2 linked regions of the Oryctolagus cuniculus genome follow. The protein of the gene in region 1 interacts with the protein of each later gene in a pairwise test. Links are inferred from orthologs where the notes say so. Each region holds a gene or a part of one and is shown in the gene's direction. Other genes may lie near its edges.

Region 1 (9,182 bases):
CTATTGTGGCATAGTGGATAAAGCCGCTGTCTGTGATTCCGGTTCGTGTCCTAACTTCTCCACTTCCTATCCAGCTCCCTACTAATGGCCTAGGAGAAGCAACACAAAATGGCTCAAGTGCTTGGGCCCCTGCACCCACGTGGGAGATCATTTGAGGTTTCTGGCTCCTGGCTTTAGTCTGGCTCAGCCCTGGCCATTGCAGCCACACCACTGGGAAGTGAACCAGCAAGTGGATGACCTCTCTCTCTCTGTAACCCTGACTTTCAAATAAATAAATAAATTGGTTTTTAAAAAGTTCTGTCAAAAAGTAAATTTAAAAATTGATAAAAAGTGGGGGATGGGAGAGAGGAAAATCCCAGCTAAGGGGATTTAACTTGATAGGGTTTGTGCACAGGTTGAGAGCAGTTATTTTCCTGTTGAGGTGTCCTGATTAGAGAAGTTCAGCTGCTGAGTTGGTGAATCTATTCTGTATTCTTCATTTGAAGTTAGTATTGCACTTGCACTTGGTGGTAAGACTATGGTGGCTCCTGGTCTCCGGCGGGCAGTTGGCGGCTGGTTAGTGTGTGCTGTGTAGAGCCCGTCAGTCGTCAAGGGGTTCCCAGAGTGTCACCATGTGCTTCCTGAGGACAGGCGTCCTCGTCCTGCTCGGAAACCCCAAGCAGGTGTAGGCCCTGTGCAGGCACGGTACGCGCCGTCAGCCCTCTGTGGAGGGGGCATTCCGGGCGAAGTTGTGCTGAATGTGTGTCGTCTTGTCCAGACGGTGTACGTGGGTATTAGGAACAGTCTCGAGATGATTTAACGTGGAAGTTACATGTAAGTACTACTCCACCCATGTGTGAGGGACTTTGCACCCATGTGTGAGGGACTTTGGTACCCACAAGGAATCCTTAAACCTGTTCCTGACGTACTCCATGGAATAGCTACACTGTTGGGCTATTTAAAAAGAAATATTACACAAACTAAATGAGTTCCAAGATGTTCTGCTTTGAGAAATATAACATCTCATGTACAGAGACAGTGTTTATGACCCCGTTACCCAGAGGCAGCTCTCCCGGTAAGGTAGTATATGCTGAGGGCTGTGGTCTCTGCAGTTGGCACCTTATATTGAAATGAGAGTAACCAAGTTATGTTTTCTCTGTTAAAGTCAAAAAGACTATACCATAATGTTGCTACTAAATGTTAATACCATCACTAGGGCCATTGTTGGGGAAGTGCATCTAGTTCTAGATTTGGGGATTACTTGGTCAAGTCTTTGTACTAAAGCAATACTTTGAAGGTTGCCTTCCAGTTTTTTATTTTGTTTTGTTTTTTAAAGATTTATTTACTTGAGAGGCAGAGTTACAGAGAGGGATGTTCCATCTGCTGGTTCGCTCTGTAAATGGCTGCAACAGCCAGAGCTGGGCTGATGAAGTCAGGAGCCTCCTCTGGGTCTCCCATGTGGGTGCAGGAGCCCAAGCACTTGGGCCACCCTCTGCTGCTTTCCCAGGACGTTAGCAGGGGGCTGGATCAGAAGTGGAGCGGCTGGGACGTGAACCGACACGGATATGGGATGCCAGCACTGCAAGCAGAGGCTTAACCCACTAAGCCACCCCCACCTTCCAGTTTTATAAATGTGCTTTTCTGTTATAGTGGAAACAGATGGAAGTTTTTCTATGAGTTGTATAGGCTTGACAGTCTCTGTAACAGAAAATAGACTTTGTTCCTGGAGACTTTTCTGTGAACAAAGTGGCATCACAGAAGAGGTGTCCTTAATAAGAGCTGCAGGGTAGGAAAGACCGAACAATGGTGTTACATGCAGAGGCGCAGAGAACACTGGCGTGTTGTGCCACCCCGAATGTGTAGTAGCCTTAATAGCTACTCAGATAATTGTAAGGTAGATTTTCTTTTTAGATTTATTTTATTTATTTGAAAAAGTTACAGAGAGAGGTAGAGACAGAGAGAGGGGTCTTCCATCCACTGGTTCACTCTCCAGTTGGCCACAACGGCTGGAGCTAAGCAGATCTGAAGCCAGGAGCCAGGAGCTTCCTCCGGGTCTCCCACGCAGGTGCAGGGGCCCAAGGACTTGAGCCATCTTCTGCTTTCCCAGGTCATAGCAGAGAGCTAGATCAGAAGAGGAGCAGCCGGGACTAGAACCTGTGCCCATATCGGCGCTTCAGGCCAGGACTTTTTTTTTTGGGGGGGGGGGGGGACTGACAGAGTTAGACAGAGAGAGAGAAAGGTCTTCCTTCCGTTGGTTCATCCCCCAAATGACCGCAATGGCCAGAGCTACACCAATCTGAAGCCAGGAGCCAGGTACCTCTTCCCGGTCTCCCACGTGGGTACAGGGACCCAAGCACTGGGCCATCCTCCCCTGCCCTCCCGGGCCACAGCAGAGAGCTGGACTGGAAGAGGAGCAAACAGGACTAGAACCCTGGGCCCATATGGGATGTCGGGGCTGCAGACAGAGGATTAACCAAGTGAGCCATGGTGCCGGCCCCCAGGCCAGGACTTTAACACGCTGCGCCACAGCGTTAGCCCAGGTAGATTGTTTTATGTTGGTTCTCTACCCAGCCCCCAAAAAGGAAGTTTAATGATCTGACTAACATTAGGTTTGCTTTGGAGGCCGTAGGAACCCAAAGAGCGTGAATGTCACCTTTCATTCCTTCACCCTTCCATGGCAGTCTTGGCAACTCAAATAGAATCACTGTTCACCTGTGTTTCTTAGATGCTTCCACTAATTGTTTGAGAAACAAAATTGTTTCCCATTTGTTCTGAAAATAGAGAATTAGAGCTGTAGTTCTCCAAACTGTTGTGTAAATGGTCACATTACTTGTTTTATTTTTGAAGTCTTGTTTCCTGAGTTGAGAACTCATTCCAGACTTACCCTGCAGTGTGTTTGTCTGCTGAATTAAAGCAAATCAGAACACAGCAGAAGCCACCATAGCCTGACCTAGCAGGTGCTTAGCCCTCGTGGAGTGAGCAGCTTTGCTGTAATAAACATAACACAGGAGTCGCACGGTGGGGGAGCCGCCGCACCCACTGACTGATGAGGCAGCACTGAGCATCCTCACGCCCTGAGCAGCCGCCTCCTCAGGGAGTGTGCGTGGGGTGTTGGCTGTGGAGGCTGTGAGGTGGCTGTTGGCCCAGCACCTCATAACCAGGCTCACCCTAACGTTTTATCGCCATGGCCTTCTGTTGATGTCGTCTGTATCACCTTTTCTCTTACGCGTGTCGTTTTATGGGAGTGAGTGAAGCGCAAACTTGCGCAGTAGATGTAGGGATTCAGAGTCAGACTGATGACATTGTCAGTAGTCTGGAGCCAGTACACGCAAGCATCGAAGTGACCTTCACAAGCCTGGCTCGGAGGTGTGCTGGTGTTCACGTGCCACGTGAAACGCCCAGCGCTGCCTCCCTGCTTGAGATCGGACGTTGCCTCTGCAGCGTTCTCTGTGCTTTTGAATGAAGGTGTTCCGGCAGAGCCCTGGGGTCAGGGAAGAAGTCGCACATAGTAAGCCTAGTTTTACAGAGTCCGGGGTGACTCCAAGAGCTCTGTGTTCTGTTTTGAGGATAAGGGTTGTTTGGGGGAGTGGGAGCTCTCTGAAGTGAGACTGATGATCCAGACTGTCAGTATTTGTCTTCCTTGTTTGCTTTGGGTGAATCTTGGAAACTTACTAATCCGGTTGAATAAAATAGGGATTGCCCTGAGGGCTTTCCTGGTCAGTGGGAAAGCTGTGATTTATAAAGTTAAGCATATGAATTAAAGTGATGGTGAGAAGCCTTGGACAGACTAGCAGTATAATATGTTTTAGGCAGTTTACACAGCTTGGTTTGTTTAACTGTTGTTATTACATTCGCTCTTGTAAGCATGGTCGTTTCTGAAGGGGGAACTCCTCAAACGAAACCAGCTCTTGCTTACTGCTGGTGACAGTGGCCTCAGACATCTTCCTAAAGTCCAAACCACTCAAGGCTAACAGATGCTGAGTTTCTTCTCCGGGAGGTGAAGAGTGTGTTTGTAACTAGTGCCTTTCCACTTTGCCTTTATCAACATCACGCTAAGTGGAAGTAGATGTGAATCCCTGTGGGGCGTTGACCAAAGCACACACCCCCCCACACCCTCCCTGCCTTGCTGGAGCCAGTTTGAGATTTGTAGAGCAGGGTTTGTTTGGGGGCGTGTCCCTTGTCTTATCTGTGGGTGAGCATATGCTAGGGTTGACTTTATTTTGACCCTTCCATTTTGAATTTGGAACCGGAGCCAGTTTAAAGTGCAGCAGGAGCAGCGTGCCTGCTGGACTTCAGCATGAGGGACCCGGGGCTGCAGGTGGGTAAGATCTCTTCTGTGCCGCTCTCAGGTTTGCTCACGGAGGCTGGCCACCGTCTGAAGGCACACACTTAGTGGGATCTCATAGCAGCTCCTCAAGGGGCTAGTGTTTAAACTACATGGAGGTCATGTGCTTAGTCGTAGCGGCAGCGTATTTGTATTTTTTAAATTAATGGCAGAACAATTAAGTTTTGAGTGTTTGGAAGCCTTTTCAAAAAGCGTAGCGGGATGGGTATTTGCATGGGGGGAAATACCATTTGTGATTGATAGAATGCGTGTGTGCGTGTTTTAAGGCGGTCACTTTGTCTTGAGCTGGCATGGTTATTACTAGATCACGGTCCCCCCGGTTGTCCTCAGGATCAGGAACAGCTCTCTGCTCACTGATTATTATTTATTTCTTCCCAGTGATTTCGAGCGCACTTCCTTGTGGATATAGCAGACTGGACTGATTTCTTTCTCCACTGATCTCTTCCAGAGCCTGGCCCAACTAGAAAACCTGTGCAAACAGCTGTATGAGACAACAGACACAACCACTCGCCTGCAGGCGGAGAAAGCCTTGGTGGAGTTCACCAACAGCCCCGACTGCCTGAGCAAGTGCCAGCTCCTCCTTGAGAGAGGAAGTGTACGTGAGGTTTGAAACACCCTGAAGGGAAGAGGGCAGTGTAGCAGGCTGCTCTGGCTCTCAGGCTAGGGGTGGAGCGGGGGAGCTCCTGCTCCCTGACTCTCTAGGTGGCCCTGCCTTCTTCATTTACTTTTACAAAGTGCCATACTTGCCCGGTTGGTGAGAAAGGCCAAAGACCCCACCAGGAAAAGATATTTGACTGTTCGTTTCTGTCCTGTTGTTTCCCATCTTGAAACAAACTTCTGGGACTCATTTTCTGTGTTTTTTTTTTTTTTTTTTTTTAAGATTTATTTTATTCATTTGAAAGGCAGAGAAGGAGAGCGAGAGCGAGAGATCTGTCTTGTATCCACAGGCTTAATCCCCAAATGGCCTCAGCGGCCAAGAGATGAAGCCAAGTGCTTCCTCCAGGTCTCCCGCATGAGTACAGGGGCCCCAAGCACTTGGGCCACCCTCTGCTGCCTTCCCAGCAGGGATCTGGTTCTGTAGTGGAACAGCCAGGACTGGAACTGGTGCTCTGGTAAGGGATGCCCATGTCACAGGCAGGGGCTTAACCTGCTGTCCATAGCACTGCCCTTCGCTTTCCGTTTTGATGCGTAAGTGCCACCTCCTGTTTTGTTTTATTTATTTGAGAGGCAGAGTTACAGACAGAGAAAGGGAGAGACAGAGAGAAAGGTTTTCCATCTGCTGGTTCACTCCCCAATTGGCTGCAACGGCTGGAGCTGGGCAGATCTGGAGCCAGGAGTCAGGAACTTCTTCCTGGTCTCCCATACAGCTACAGAGGCCAAGCACTTGGGCCATCTTCCACTGCTTTCCCAGGGAGCTGGATCGGAAGAGCAGTAGCTGGGTCATGTATTGGTGCCCATGTGGGATGCTGGTTCCGGAAGTGGAGGCTTAGCCCACTGCCCCCACAGCACCAGCCCTGCCCCCTCCTGTTTATTACAGGAGGGCAGGGCTGGGTAGAAGTGATCTCCTTCTGGTCCTGAGTCCTTGTCACCCTATAAGGCCCTCAGTTTTCTCTGTGTCTTCCTCCTCTGTACCTTACAGTGAGTCTAGGAAAAATGACTGACAGGAAGCTGTAGGTTTTAAATGGAATTCAACACCCTGCCAGCTTAGAAATGGCATGGCAGTGATCAAAATGATGCTTGATTGAGACATAACTTGATGAAGTGACTATTTTCGGCAGAATGGAGGGGAAGTCCTGAAAGGGCGTCAGAGCCAGGCCTGCGGTGGGCAGCACTGACCTCTGTGACAGGGCATGCGGTCAGGTGCAGTCCTCCTTTTCCCTCGTGCTCACACAGGCACCTTGGCCTGTGTGCCCTGTGCAGCCAGTAGGCCTCACTGTCGCTCTTGTTGGCGGGGTGGAGATGAAAGTGGATGTCTCAAATGTGATGGGGCCACCGCTGTGGCATAGCCAGGGAAGCCGCTGCCTGCAGTGCCGGCATCCCATATGGATGCTGGTTTGTGTCCCGGCTGCTCCACTTCCATTGCAGCTCTCTGCTATGGTCTGGGAAGGCAGTGGAAGATGGCCCAAATGCTTGGGTCCCTGCACCCATGTGGGAGACCTGGAGGAAGCTCCTGGCTCCTGGCTTCGGATCAGTGCAGCTCTGGCCATTGCAGCCAATTGGGGAGTGAACCAGTGGATGGAAGACCTCTCTCTTGCTCTCTGTGCCTCTCTCTCTCTGTGCAACTCTGACTTTCAAATAAATAAATAAATCTTAAAAAAAAAAAAGAAAAGAAAAGAAAAAAGAAAGTGGAAGTGATGGTATAGTGCTGTGTCCTGAACAGAGGTTTATCCCTTAAGAGCCGGGTAATAACACAGCATTTCCAAAAAACTATCCTTTGGACTGGAAGGAGATGTGGACAAATAAAAGCATTTAATTTGTTGAGGGAGTAGGGCCAGCATTGTGGCACAGCCAGCTAAGCCTCTGCCCCGTGATGCTGTGTGGGCACTGATTGAAGTCCCGGCTGTCCCACTTCTGATCCAGCTCCCTGCTAGTGCTCCTGGGAAAGCAGTGGAGGGTGGCCCAAATATGTGGGCCCCTGCACCTACCTGGGAGACCCCAGTGAAGCTCCTGGCTCCTGGCTTCAGCCTGGCCCACCTCTGGCTGTTGCAGCCATTTGGGGAGTGAACCAAAAGATGGAAGATGTCAGTCTCTGTCTCTCCCTCTCTGTAACTCTGCCTTTTAAATAAGTAAATCGTGAAAAAAATTGTTGAGGAGGATAGACTTCTGACTTTCATTTTTGAGTTTTCATTAGTGTCACAATTGTGTTTATGCGACAAAGAGTTAGTTAGAATTATCCTTTAATAGCTAAAGATCGAATTCTTTTTTCCAAATATCTGAAGATTGCAAAGTGATAGATTATGTAGTAGTCTGTTGTAAGTTGTACAATACTAGTACTACTTCGTATACTTCTTTTAAATCACTCGGTGTTGGGAATGATCGGCCTAAAGCTCTCCAGTCCACCCCCACCACAGTGCAGAGTTTGACACTGTCAGCTCCAACTCCTGCCTGTTGACTCTTGACAAGTTAAAGAACACAGAACTGGGACAATGCTGAAACCAGAGTGGTTTCTGCCTTTTTAATCTCTGTTGACTTCTTAATGACTTGTTAGATTTATTGCATTATATCTAAGAACATATATTCATTATACAGTTATATATTATGTATTACGATTAGAACAGTCTCTTAGTCATGGTTTCACATGCCTGCATTAATCAGTCTAAGTCATGTTCAGGTATGTTGAATAAAAACCATGTTGTCAAAGACTTGGTGTTTTTCCATAATTAATTTTTTTAAATAAATGAATAGCCTCCTATCTTAAGGACCTTTAGTTTCATGAAAAATTATCTTGGACCCTGGATTAAGTTAGTTACTACTTCTCATTCTGTTTCTGTTGTGTGACATTATGTAATTAATGTTGTCACATGATTCTTATATCCTATGACCAGATGGAATGCTTTAATTCTTCATAAAGTGAAAATTCATTAAAAATCACATTTGAAAATGTGATAATGCTACTCTGGTGCTTAGGACATAAGTTTTCTTTCTCAACAAATATCTTTTCAAAGTTTACTTTAAAACTCATCTGCTGGCCGGCGCCGCGGCTCACTAGGCTAATCCTCTGCCTTGCAGCGCCGGCACACCGGGTTCTAGTCCCGGTCGGGACGCCGGATTCTGTCCCAGTTGCCCCTCTTCCAGTCCAGCTCTCTGCTGTGGCCTGGGAAGGCAGTGGAGGATGGCCCAAATACTTGGGCCCTGCACCCCATGGGAGACCAGGATAAGTACCTGGCTCCTGCCATCGGATCAGCGCAATGCACCGGCCGCGGCGGCCCTTGGAGGGTGAACCAACGGCAAAAGGAAGACCTTTCTCTCTGTCTCTTTCTCACTGTCCACTCGGCCTGTAAAAAAAAAAAAAAAAACACAACTCATCTGCTATCCCAAAAGCTATGGCTGTGCTGATAGAGAATTTGGGGGTTAAGTAGATAGCATTGTGGGGTTTCCTCAGAGTTCTGTTTCTTCCTTCTAATGCCATGCTGTAGTCCTTTTGAGACATCACGATAATGGGGTGTTGAGGTGGAGAGTTCTTGGCTTGTGGGAGCTTTCTGAAAGGTGCCCTCTAGTGTCTGTTTTCAGGGAAGCTGGTGTCCATGTTGGATTAGGTCCAGCAGGCTGTTCACTCGCCCCTCGTCCAGCATTGCAGTCAGCTGAGCCCTGTGCTAGCGGGGACTCATTCTTCCCCAGAGTGGTAGACCCTCTAGCACCTGAAAGACTGAATAAAGTAAGACAGGTTCCCTTTACTTGGGAACGTGCAGTGACAAACCTTGTGACGATGCAAGTTGAAGTCTTTTCCCCCTCTCTTCGCAGTCGTCTTACTCCCAGTTATTGGCAGCTACATGCCTGACGAAGCTTGTGTCGCGCACAAACAACCCCCTGCCACTGGAGCAACGCATAGATATTCGTAAGTACAGGATTTCCCGTCTGTCTTGAGAACAATTCAGTCTGCTTAGTGGTGTGTTAGAAGTTAAGTTTATGAGTTTGCCTGATAACATGCTTAAATTTAAGCAAAGCATGCGGAATATCTAGTCTGGGTTTCTGCCGAGGCCCTGTTTGTTGTAGCATGAAGAATGAGGAAGGCTTCAGGGTGTACTGTCTGAGCCTGCCTCCTCTCCGCCACCCTTCATTGTGGAGCGCTGCACTCCAGGGATCGTTTCTCTTTCGTAGGGAACTATGTGCTCAACTACCTTGCCACCCGGCCAAAGTT
Region 2 (9,108 bases), about 89 Mb from region 1:
CTGGTTTTCTGAAATTTACTGATGGTGTGCTGTAGTGTAGCTCTCTTCCCCACTCTTCCCGCACAAGGCCCTTTGAGCTGGGGATAGATGCCTTCTGTTTCAATGATATTTTTGGTATTCCTTAATTCTCTCTTCTCTTCTGCACCTCTATGAACACATTATTGGATATTCTGAATCCAGTTTGTCTTTTTAAAAAATCATTTTAATTGACAAATTAAAATTGTGTGTATTTATCATATACAACATATTGCTTTGAAATATGGTTTTGTTTTTTATTCTATTTTGTTGAAGTTCTTTCAATTTCATCCTTAGGTTTCATTTTTAATTTAATGCATTTTAAATTTTTTCTCTGATTTTAAAATTTTAAAGTAACATTTTCCTCTTTTGTAAAAACATTTTATTATTATTAGTCTTTGTGGGCTTTTTTGAGACTTTAAATGTATGTGATCAAGTGTTATTTTTAATTGGAGACCCATGCTTGGTGTTTTGGAACTTTATCTTGGAAAAAGTGTTACAAGATTATAATGCTGGCCGGTGCCGCAGCTCAATAGGCTAATCCTCTGCCTTGCTGCGCCAGCACACCAGGTTCTAGTCCCGGTCGGGGCACCGGATTCTGTCCCAGTTGCCCCTCTTCCAGGCCAGCTCTCTGCTGTGGCCAGGGAATGCAGTGGAGGATGGCCCAAGTGCTTGGGCCCTGCACCCCATGGGAGACCAGGAGAAGCACCTGGCTCCTGCCATCGGATCAGCGCAGTGCACTGGCTGCAACGCGCCGGCCGCGCCGACCATTGGAGGGTGCACCAACGGCAAAAGGAAGACCTTTCTCTCTGTCTCTCTCTCTCACTGTCCACTCTGCCTGTCAAAAAAATAAAATAAAATAAAATAAAAAATAAAAAGATTATAATGCTATCACAGATTTTTATCTTTTTTGTGTCTGAGTTTTGACATTTAAAAATAAAAGCAGTATATAACATTTTTTTTTCAAAAAAGGTTTTCTTCTTAACTTTTTCTACCTTTTTGTTTTTTTCTCCCCTTAACAGACCATAAATACTGTATCAGAAGTTATTCGAGGTTGCCAAGTAAACCAAGACTACTTTGCTTCTGTAAATGCACCCTCAAACCCACCAAGGTAGGAGAAGGGAAATGGTTGTTAAGATGGCCCATATATGGGCCCAGCATTGTGGCGTAGCCGGTAAAGCTGCCACCTGCAACACCGACATCCCCTTTGGGCAATAGTCCCTGTCCCTGCTGCTCCACTTCCAATCTAGCTTCCTGCTAATGTGCCTTGGAAGGCAGCAGAAGATAGCCTGAATGTTTGGTTCCCTGCCACCCACATAGGAAACCTCGAAGAAGCTCCTGGCTCCTGGCCCAGCCCTGGCCATTGTGGGCATCTGGAAAGTAAAGCAGCAGATGGAAGATCTCTCTCTGTGTCTCTCCATCTCTCTCTCTGTAACTTTCAAATAAATAAACAAATCTTTTTTAAAAAATAAAGAACAGATATCCTCTATATACTTGTTAGTCCTCTATAATAATTCAGATATATGTTGTAAAGCAGATATCTGATAAAATAAATATTTTTCTAAGACTTAATTATTTTAAATGCAGAGTGATAAAGGACAGAGAGAGAGAGAGAGAGATCTTCAATTTGCTGACTCACTCCCCAAATGCCCACAACAGCCAGAGCTGGGCCAGTCCAAACCCAGGGCCTGGAACTCCAACCAGATCTCTGATGTGAATGGCAGGGACTCAAGCTTGCGATCCATCACCTGCTGCCCTCCAGGCACATAAACAGGAAGCTGGATCAGAAGCAGAGGCAGGACTTGCTCACAGGAACCCCAAACATGGGATACAGATGTCCCAAGCTGTGGCTTAACTCTCTGTCACAGTGCCTGCTGCAATACTGGTATTTTAAAAGAGTGGTAACATTACATTGATCTTTGGAACTTAGATGTGTAGGCTCAGATAACACCTTTTTCACTTCCTAGTGATGTCGCTTAAGCAGGCAGATTACCTCATTTCTCTCAGCTACTTTCCTTTTGTCTGAGATGGAGAATGAAATCCGTAACTTGCTCATGCTCTGACTGTGATTCTTCAGTCAACAGAAATGAACTGCTATTCATACATATATTCATATATAATGATTTGTATACCTGGTTGCAGTGTTTTGTTTTGTTCTTTTCCTTTTAAATGCAACAGGCCAGCGATTGTAGTGCTTCTCATGTCCATGGTAAATGAAAGGCAGCCGTTTGTCTTGCGATGTGCTGTTCTCTATTGTTTCCAGTGCTTCTTATATAAAAACCAAAAAGGACAAGGAGAGATTGTGTCAACACTCCTGCCTTCCACCATTGATGGTAAATAATTTAATTCTAATTTCTCTCTTAAGAAAGAAAATAATTGTCTTTTAAACTTTTAATTGAATCTGTCTCTCTGTCCCTTAGCTTAAAATACTGTGTATGGCTCAGGGGAATTCCAAAGCCTAAGGCATGGGTTTAGAAAACAGGCTTTGGAGTCAGACCACAGTTTGCATTGTAGAATTTCTACTTCTCTTCTGTGTAACTTTGGACAAGTTGTTTTTAATTTGAGCCTTATATCAAGTTGTGGGGAGGTAATAGTCACCTCAGTAGAAGTAGTCTGAGGATTAGTGCATTACATATGTGAATCACTCACCCAGATACCTAATGTAATAGATGCCAACAAGCAGAAGCTGCTGTTGGTAGTAATTACCATTCTAAAGATAACCCTACCAGAGTACACAGGGCATCGTGGTCTGTTGTTCTAGTACAGGTCATAGTCTTGCCTTTTCTATGGTTTCTTTAAATACTTCATTTTACCAGAGGTGATTTCTTTAAAGATTTGCCTTTATTAACTTTAAGAGCAGTTTGATAAAGAAGTAATTGGATATATCAGTGGAGTTCATTTGAATCACATACATTCTGAGTTTTTGGTCAAAACTTTGTTACACTTTACCCAAAATTTTTTTATAAAATCATTACTATAAAATATCAGATAAGAGGAATAATTTAAGTGTTATTTCCTTAACTTTGTTCTAGAAATGCTATTTTTAATCATGATAATCACCCCCAGGAATATTATCATTAATTTAACACCTAAAGTGTCATAATATGTCTTCATTCTGCTACTTTTCTTCTAAGATTCCTTTCTCTCTCAATTTTGTTTTGAAAAGCAGACTTTCATTGTTTGGAAATGTCACATGATACTCCTGATAAGTAAATCTTTAAATAGTATTCAGTAGTATTTCATACTATTTGGGTGTGTATAAAAGACAGCAATTCTTCTAAATTTGATTTCCTCCCATTTTTCTAGCAATGGGAAATTCAGTTTCAGCTGGTCAGTTACTATGTGGAGGTCTGTTTTCTACTGATTCTCTTTCAAACTGGTGTGCTGCTGTGGCCCTTGCCCATGCTTTGCAAGAAAATGCAACCCAGAAAGAACAATTGCTCAGGGTTCAACTTGCTACGAATATCGGCAACCCTCCAGTTTCCTTACTGCAACAGTGCACCAATATCCTGTCACAGGTAAAATACAGCATGAAACTTCTCCAGCCGGGAAAATGATTCAGCTATATGCCTTGATGTCAGTGATAACAGCGATTTAAGGATGCCCTTAGAATGTGCAGATGAAAAAGGAAAGAAAGGACGTAAACTCATTGTAACCAGAAACAGTTTTGTGAAAAGAAAATTTTTATAGGGCTGGCCCAATAGTTAATAAGATCTGATTCATGGTGGAAATACATGTTCTGAGCAGAAAGGTGGTTTTGATTTTATTTTCTTTTTAAGTCATCCATGATGTTTTTGCATATCAGTTTCTCTCTCTTCTCTCTCTTTTTTTTTCTTTTTTTTCTTTTCTTTTTTTTTTTTTTTTTTTTTTTTGACAGGCAGAGTGGACAGTGAGAGAGAGAGACAGAGAGAAAGGTCTTCCTTTTGCCGTTGGTTCACCCTCCAATGGCCGCCGCGGCCGGCGCGCTGTGGCCGGCACACCGCGCTGATCCAATGGCAGGAGCCAGGTGCTTCTCCTGGTCTCCCATGGGGTGCAGGGCCCAAGCACTTGGGCCATCCTCCACTGCACTCCCTGGCCACAGCAGAGAGCTGGCCTGGAAGAGGGGCAACTGGGACAGAATCCGGTGCCCCGACTGGGACTAGAACCCGGTGTGCCGGTGCTGCAAGGCGGAGGATTAGCCTAGTGATGTTTCTCTTTTTTTCTAGGTGACTGAATTCAGGTTAGTTGATGAGAGGGAACAGCATAAAGAAGATGGTAGTTGTGTGCCTCTCTTGTTTTCTTCCCAGAGCAACAGATTGCTCAAAAACAAAAACAGCAGTCCATGGCATATGTAGTTACTCAGTGTCCCCCTTGATGTTTGTGAGTCCTCAAGTTCCCAGCACACATACCTTATCTAATAAGGCCTAGAAAAACATCACTAAACATTTGAGAACAACAAAACTCTGTTGAAGTGTGGATGCTAGGTATTTAGGAATGTTACTTTCTATGAAGTGACTTTCCGACATGTGCAAGCCTTGCTGTTGAACAGTTCAAGTTCATGCTTTAGCGAAACTGGGAAGTCATTGACATTCACAGTCACTCAGGGAGGATGAAAAATGTGGCCAGGCCAACCTCTTTTTTTTTTTTTAATTTATTTTATTCATTTGAAAGACAGTTACAGAGAGAGGTAGAGGCAGAGAGAGAGGTCTTCCATCTACTGGTTCACTCCCCAGATGGCCGTAACGGCCGGAGCTGCGCCAATCCGAAGCCAGGAGCTTCTTCCGGGTCTTCCACGTGGGCGCAGGGGCCCAAGGACTGGAAGTGGAGCAGCCAGGACTAGAACTGGCGCCCATGTAGGATGCTGGCGCTTCAGGCCAGGGCGTTAACTCACTGCGCCACAGCGCCGGCCCTGATTGCCACCCTCTTACCCACCCACATGATACTGTGCTGAGTTCTTTAATTGTGAATTTTGCCTCATTTGTTGAATTTTTCCTTATTTTGAGCTTTTAAAGAAATACCAATGCCATCCACAGAAGTTACAGAGGAAAGCTTAAAATTGACTATAGTGAAGGAGTAGAATGTTGTTTAAAATTGGTTTACTTCCATTAAAGCTTAGTATATATTTGATTTATCACTTCTTTCTTATAAGAAAACTACCCCAAACTTTTTGTATCTTAATTAATATTTGGCATTCTCATGTTGCTGTATATTGAAAAATAGCCTTTTAAAAGCCAAACAGTAATTAACTGTCTGACTCCAATTCCACAGACCTTGCTTTAACATTGTAATTATAATTGGTACATAGTAAGAAAGCCTAAAGAGGTGATGTCTTCCCCACAAGGTGCTTTAAAATTAACCCTTTATCCTCTAAAATATGTATCATTTTTATGCAATAAAAGATAAGAATTATCCAGTCCAAAATTATTGGCTTTGGTATGTAGAAATATTGTGAAAGAATTTTGAGGGGTTTTCTAGAATCCAATTTTTCTGGAGTAGTGATATTTATGAATAATTTTTAATGTATAATTTGCAGGGTGATAAGATCAACAGACGGGTATGTATTATTTGATTCAGCTTAGGCATTTTCCTCCTACAGCAAGGCTTTTTCTTTGTCTTGGGTTTTGCGATATTTTTAACTGCTTGTTTGAATTTATATTCTACTCACACTTACATGTCAGCAAGTTTATCTCTATCTTACGTGGCTCTCCAGTTTTTCTCCGTGGGATTTTTGTTGTGGTGTTGCTAAGAACTATGGGAAAGAGAATCTGAAGCTGTGTACTTATGCTTCCTCCAGGGCTGCTTGCACTTTCTGGGATTCCTTGGTTTTGGTTTTTTGTGAAGCTTGTTTCTTTATTTCTTCTAAAACCATTTCATAGGAAGTAAAATTTAGAGTTAAGAATTTTGTGTATAGTTAATCACATATGAAAGGTTGAGAAGACTTTTATATTACTTAGATTATTTTAAACATGGAATAGTAAGTATCATTTTGTAATTGGAAAGATTTTAAGTTAAATAATACAGATTATCCTGGGTATAACCCATAAACTACAACTACCATTGGGGTTTAGTTCTTGATGTGTGAGAGTAAAGTGTTTTTTGTGTTTGGCTTGGTTTGGGTTTTGTTGGTTTGTTCGATGGTTGTGTTTTGTGTATTCTAATATTTGGCAAAATAGAAGTGGGCCTTAATATCCATGGTTGAGCATGTGTTTTAGTACATACGAATTGTGTTTCTATATGTGAGCATGATTTAGCATGTGTTAATGACACATATATTTGACAGCAGTGGGCTGTTGAGGTTTTTATATTAGAGACTAGAGATAAGTATTCAAGTCAGTCATTTAAAAGAGTATTGTTTGAGACACTAATTTATGCACTTTAGTAAAATGTACACACCTGATATGTCCAATCTGATTTTTTTTTATGTTTATTTATTTGAAAGACAGAAAATTCAGCTGGGTCACTCCCCAAATGCCTGTAATGGTCCCAGCCAGGGCCCAAGCCAGGAGCCACAAACTTACCCAGATATCCCACATTGATGGAGGAACCCAGATACTTGAGCCATCCCTACTGCTTCCCAGGATCTACAATAGCAGGAAGCTGGAGTCAAGAGACAAAGCAGAGTGTCAAACCCAGATACTCCAGTGTGGAACATGGATGTCTTAATGACCACATTAAACTTCCACTCGCAAGGGGATTTTTGATGTTTGAATGTATCTCTGTAACCACCACCCAAAAGATGTAGACTGTTTTCATAATTCTAGAAAGTTCCATGATGTTCCTTTCCTTTTTTCCCTTTTCATGTCCCAGAGTCTAGCACTAGAAAGTGATCTGCATCATAATATGCCAGAACCTCCTTTTAATGCTGAGCAAAAGACATTTAAAATGTTGGCTTTTTAGGTTTTAAAACAGTGCAAGATATTAGACTTGGAATGTACATAGTAGAAATGAGAGACATTTTTATCTAGAATGTATAATAGGGAAAATTTGATTACTTATGACAAAGAATAGAAGATTCCATTTCAAATGTTTTGTTTTAAATTCTCTTCCATCCCATAAAATCTGTGGCTTCTAATAAGTAAACCTTCAGAACACTGGGAAAATATCATTTAAGCCTCCGTTTGTTTCTCCAAATATCAGTGGTTCACATACTCAGGGGATGATAGAAAAGGATTTGCACTTTTTCTTATATTTCAAATAATTGTTCATTTTATAGTAAAGCATTTAACCCTGGTATTTGATATATGAGTTACAGATTTTTTTTTTCCCTGACATCATATTTGTCTTTTGACCTTGGTGTTGTGTCTTGATTTTTTTTTCCCTTATACTTTTCTTTCACAACTTTAGCACTTTGGTTTTTGGTATTTTTTAGTTTGTGTTTTTTTGTTTGTTTGTTTTTTTGTTTGTTTGCTTTTTGCTTTTTGCTTTTTTTGAGAGGCAGAGAACTCTCATCTACTTGTTTATTCCCCAAATGCTCACAAGAGCTATACTGGGCCAGGCCAAAGCCAGTCTGGATCTTCCACTTGGATGGCAGGAACCCAACGACCTTAGCCATCACCTGTTGCCTCCCAGGATGTGCATTAGCAGGAATATGAAATCAGAAGCAAAACCAGGACTCAAACCATCACTTTTTTTTAATAAACCTTTTTTTTTAAAAAAAGATTATTTACTGGGGCCAGCATGTGGCATGGCAGGTTAAGCCTCCACCTGATACACTGGCATCCCACATGGGCATAGGATTGAGTCCTGGCTGCTCCATTTCCCATCCAGTTCCCTGTTAGTGTGCCTTGGAAACACAGCAGAGAATGAATGACTCAAGTGCCTGGGCCCCTGTACCGATGTGGAAGACCCAGAGGAATCTCCTGGCTACTGGCTATGGTCTGGCCTAGTGCTGGCTGTTGCAGCCATTTGGGGAGTGAACTAACAGATCAAAGATCTCTCTCCCTTTGTCTCTTTTCTCTGTAACTCTACCTTTCAAATAAATTTAAAAATAAATCTTTAAAGATTTATTTACTTACTTGGAAGGTTGAAAGGCAGAGTTATAGAGAGAGAAACAAAAAGAGATCTTCCATCCACTGACTGACTCCCCAGATGACCATTAATAGTAGGGGCTGGGCCAGGCTGAAGCCAGGAACAAGGAACTCCACCTGGGTCTTCCACATGGGTAACAGAGGTCCAAGTACCTGGGCCACTCCCCACTGCATTTCCAGGCACATTAGCAGGGAACTGGATGGGAAGCAGAGCCACTAGGACTCAAACTGGCACTCTGACACGGCTGCTGGCATCACAGGCAGCAGCTTAACCTGCTGCACCACCTCAGACCATCATCTTAGCCACTAGACCAAATGCCTACCCCATCTTCAGCATTTTAAATCATATTGGAAAGGCCTTCCCATTTCAAAATTTAAGGAAGTCACCCATGTTTTCCTATCATGCCTTCTAATTTCTTTTTTATGCATAACTTTATTTTTCAAGGAACAGTATTTAGCTCCACTGATCTTTTTCTAGATAGCAGTCTAGGTGTCCCAATGTTTTTAAAGTGCCCTTGTTACCAAATAGATACTTGTTTGCTACATTTTCCATACACAGTCATCCCTCAATGCCCATCGTTTTTGCATCTGAAGATTTAACCAGGCCAGCTCACTAAGGCTAATCCTCTGCCTGTGGTGCCAGCACCCCGGGTTCTAGTCCCAGTTGGGGCACCGGATTCTGTCCCAGTTGCTCCTCTTCCACTCCAGCTCTCTGCTGTGGCCCAGAAAGGCAATGGAGGATGGCCCAAGTGCTTGGGCCCTGCACCCTCATGGGAGACCAAGAGGAAGCACCTAGCTCCTGGCTTTGGATCGGTGCAGCCAGCCGGCCGTAGCGGCCATTTGGGGGGTGAACGAAAAGAAGGAAGACCTTTCTTTCTATCTCTCTCTCTCACTAACTCTGCCTGTCAAAAAAAAAAAAAAAAAAAAAAAGATTTAACCAACCCCATGATGAAAATTTTCAAATATTTAAAAATATGTCTATACTAAACATACAGGCTTTTTTGTCATTTTCCCCTAAACAAAATACTGTATAATAACTATTCACATAGAACTTCCATTGTTTTGGTGTTACAAGCAATCTGGGGGT

The links.
Region 2: the proteins of XPO7 (region 1) and USO1 interact in binary tests that used the Homo sapiens proteins (3 or more experiments, as listed by UniProt). The two-hybrid records come from large-scale screens. The link is inferred for Oryctolagus cuniculus from reciprocal best matches to the Homo sapiens genes XPO7 and USO1.

What each region holds. Positions count from the first base shown.
Region 1 is NC_091439.1:1,313,456-1,322,637, reverse strand, and holds the start of XPO7 (exportin-7), read left to right. Parts: upstream 1-4,216; 5' UTR 4,217-4,276; coding exon 4,277-4,297; intron 4,298-4,772; coding exon 4,773-4,919; intron 4,920-8,785; coding exon 8,786-8,879; intron 8,880-9,142; coding exon 9,143-9,182.
Region 2 is NC_091439.1:90,118,689-90,127,796, reverse strand, and holds part of USO1 (general vesicular transport factor p115), read left to right. Parts: intron 1-1,037; coding exon 1,038-1,126; intron 1,127-2,193; coding exon 2,194-2,348; intron 2,349-3,321; coding exon 3,322-3,533; intron 3,534-5,527; coding exon 5,528-5,548; intron 5,549-9,108. UniProt on the Homo sapiens protein: General vesicular transport factor required for intercisternal transport in the Golgi stack; it is required for transcytotic fusion and/or subsequent binding of the vesicles to the target membrane.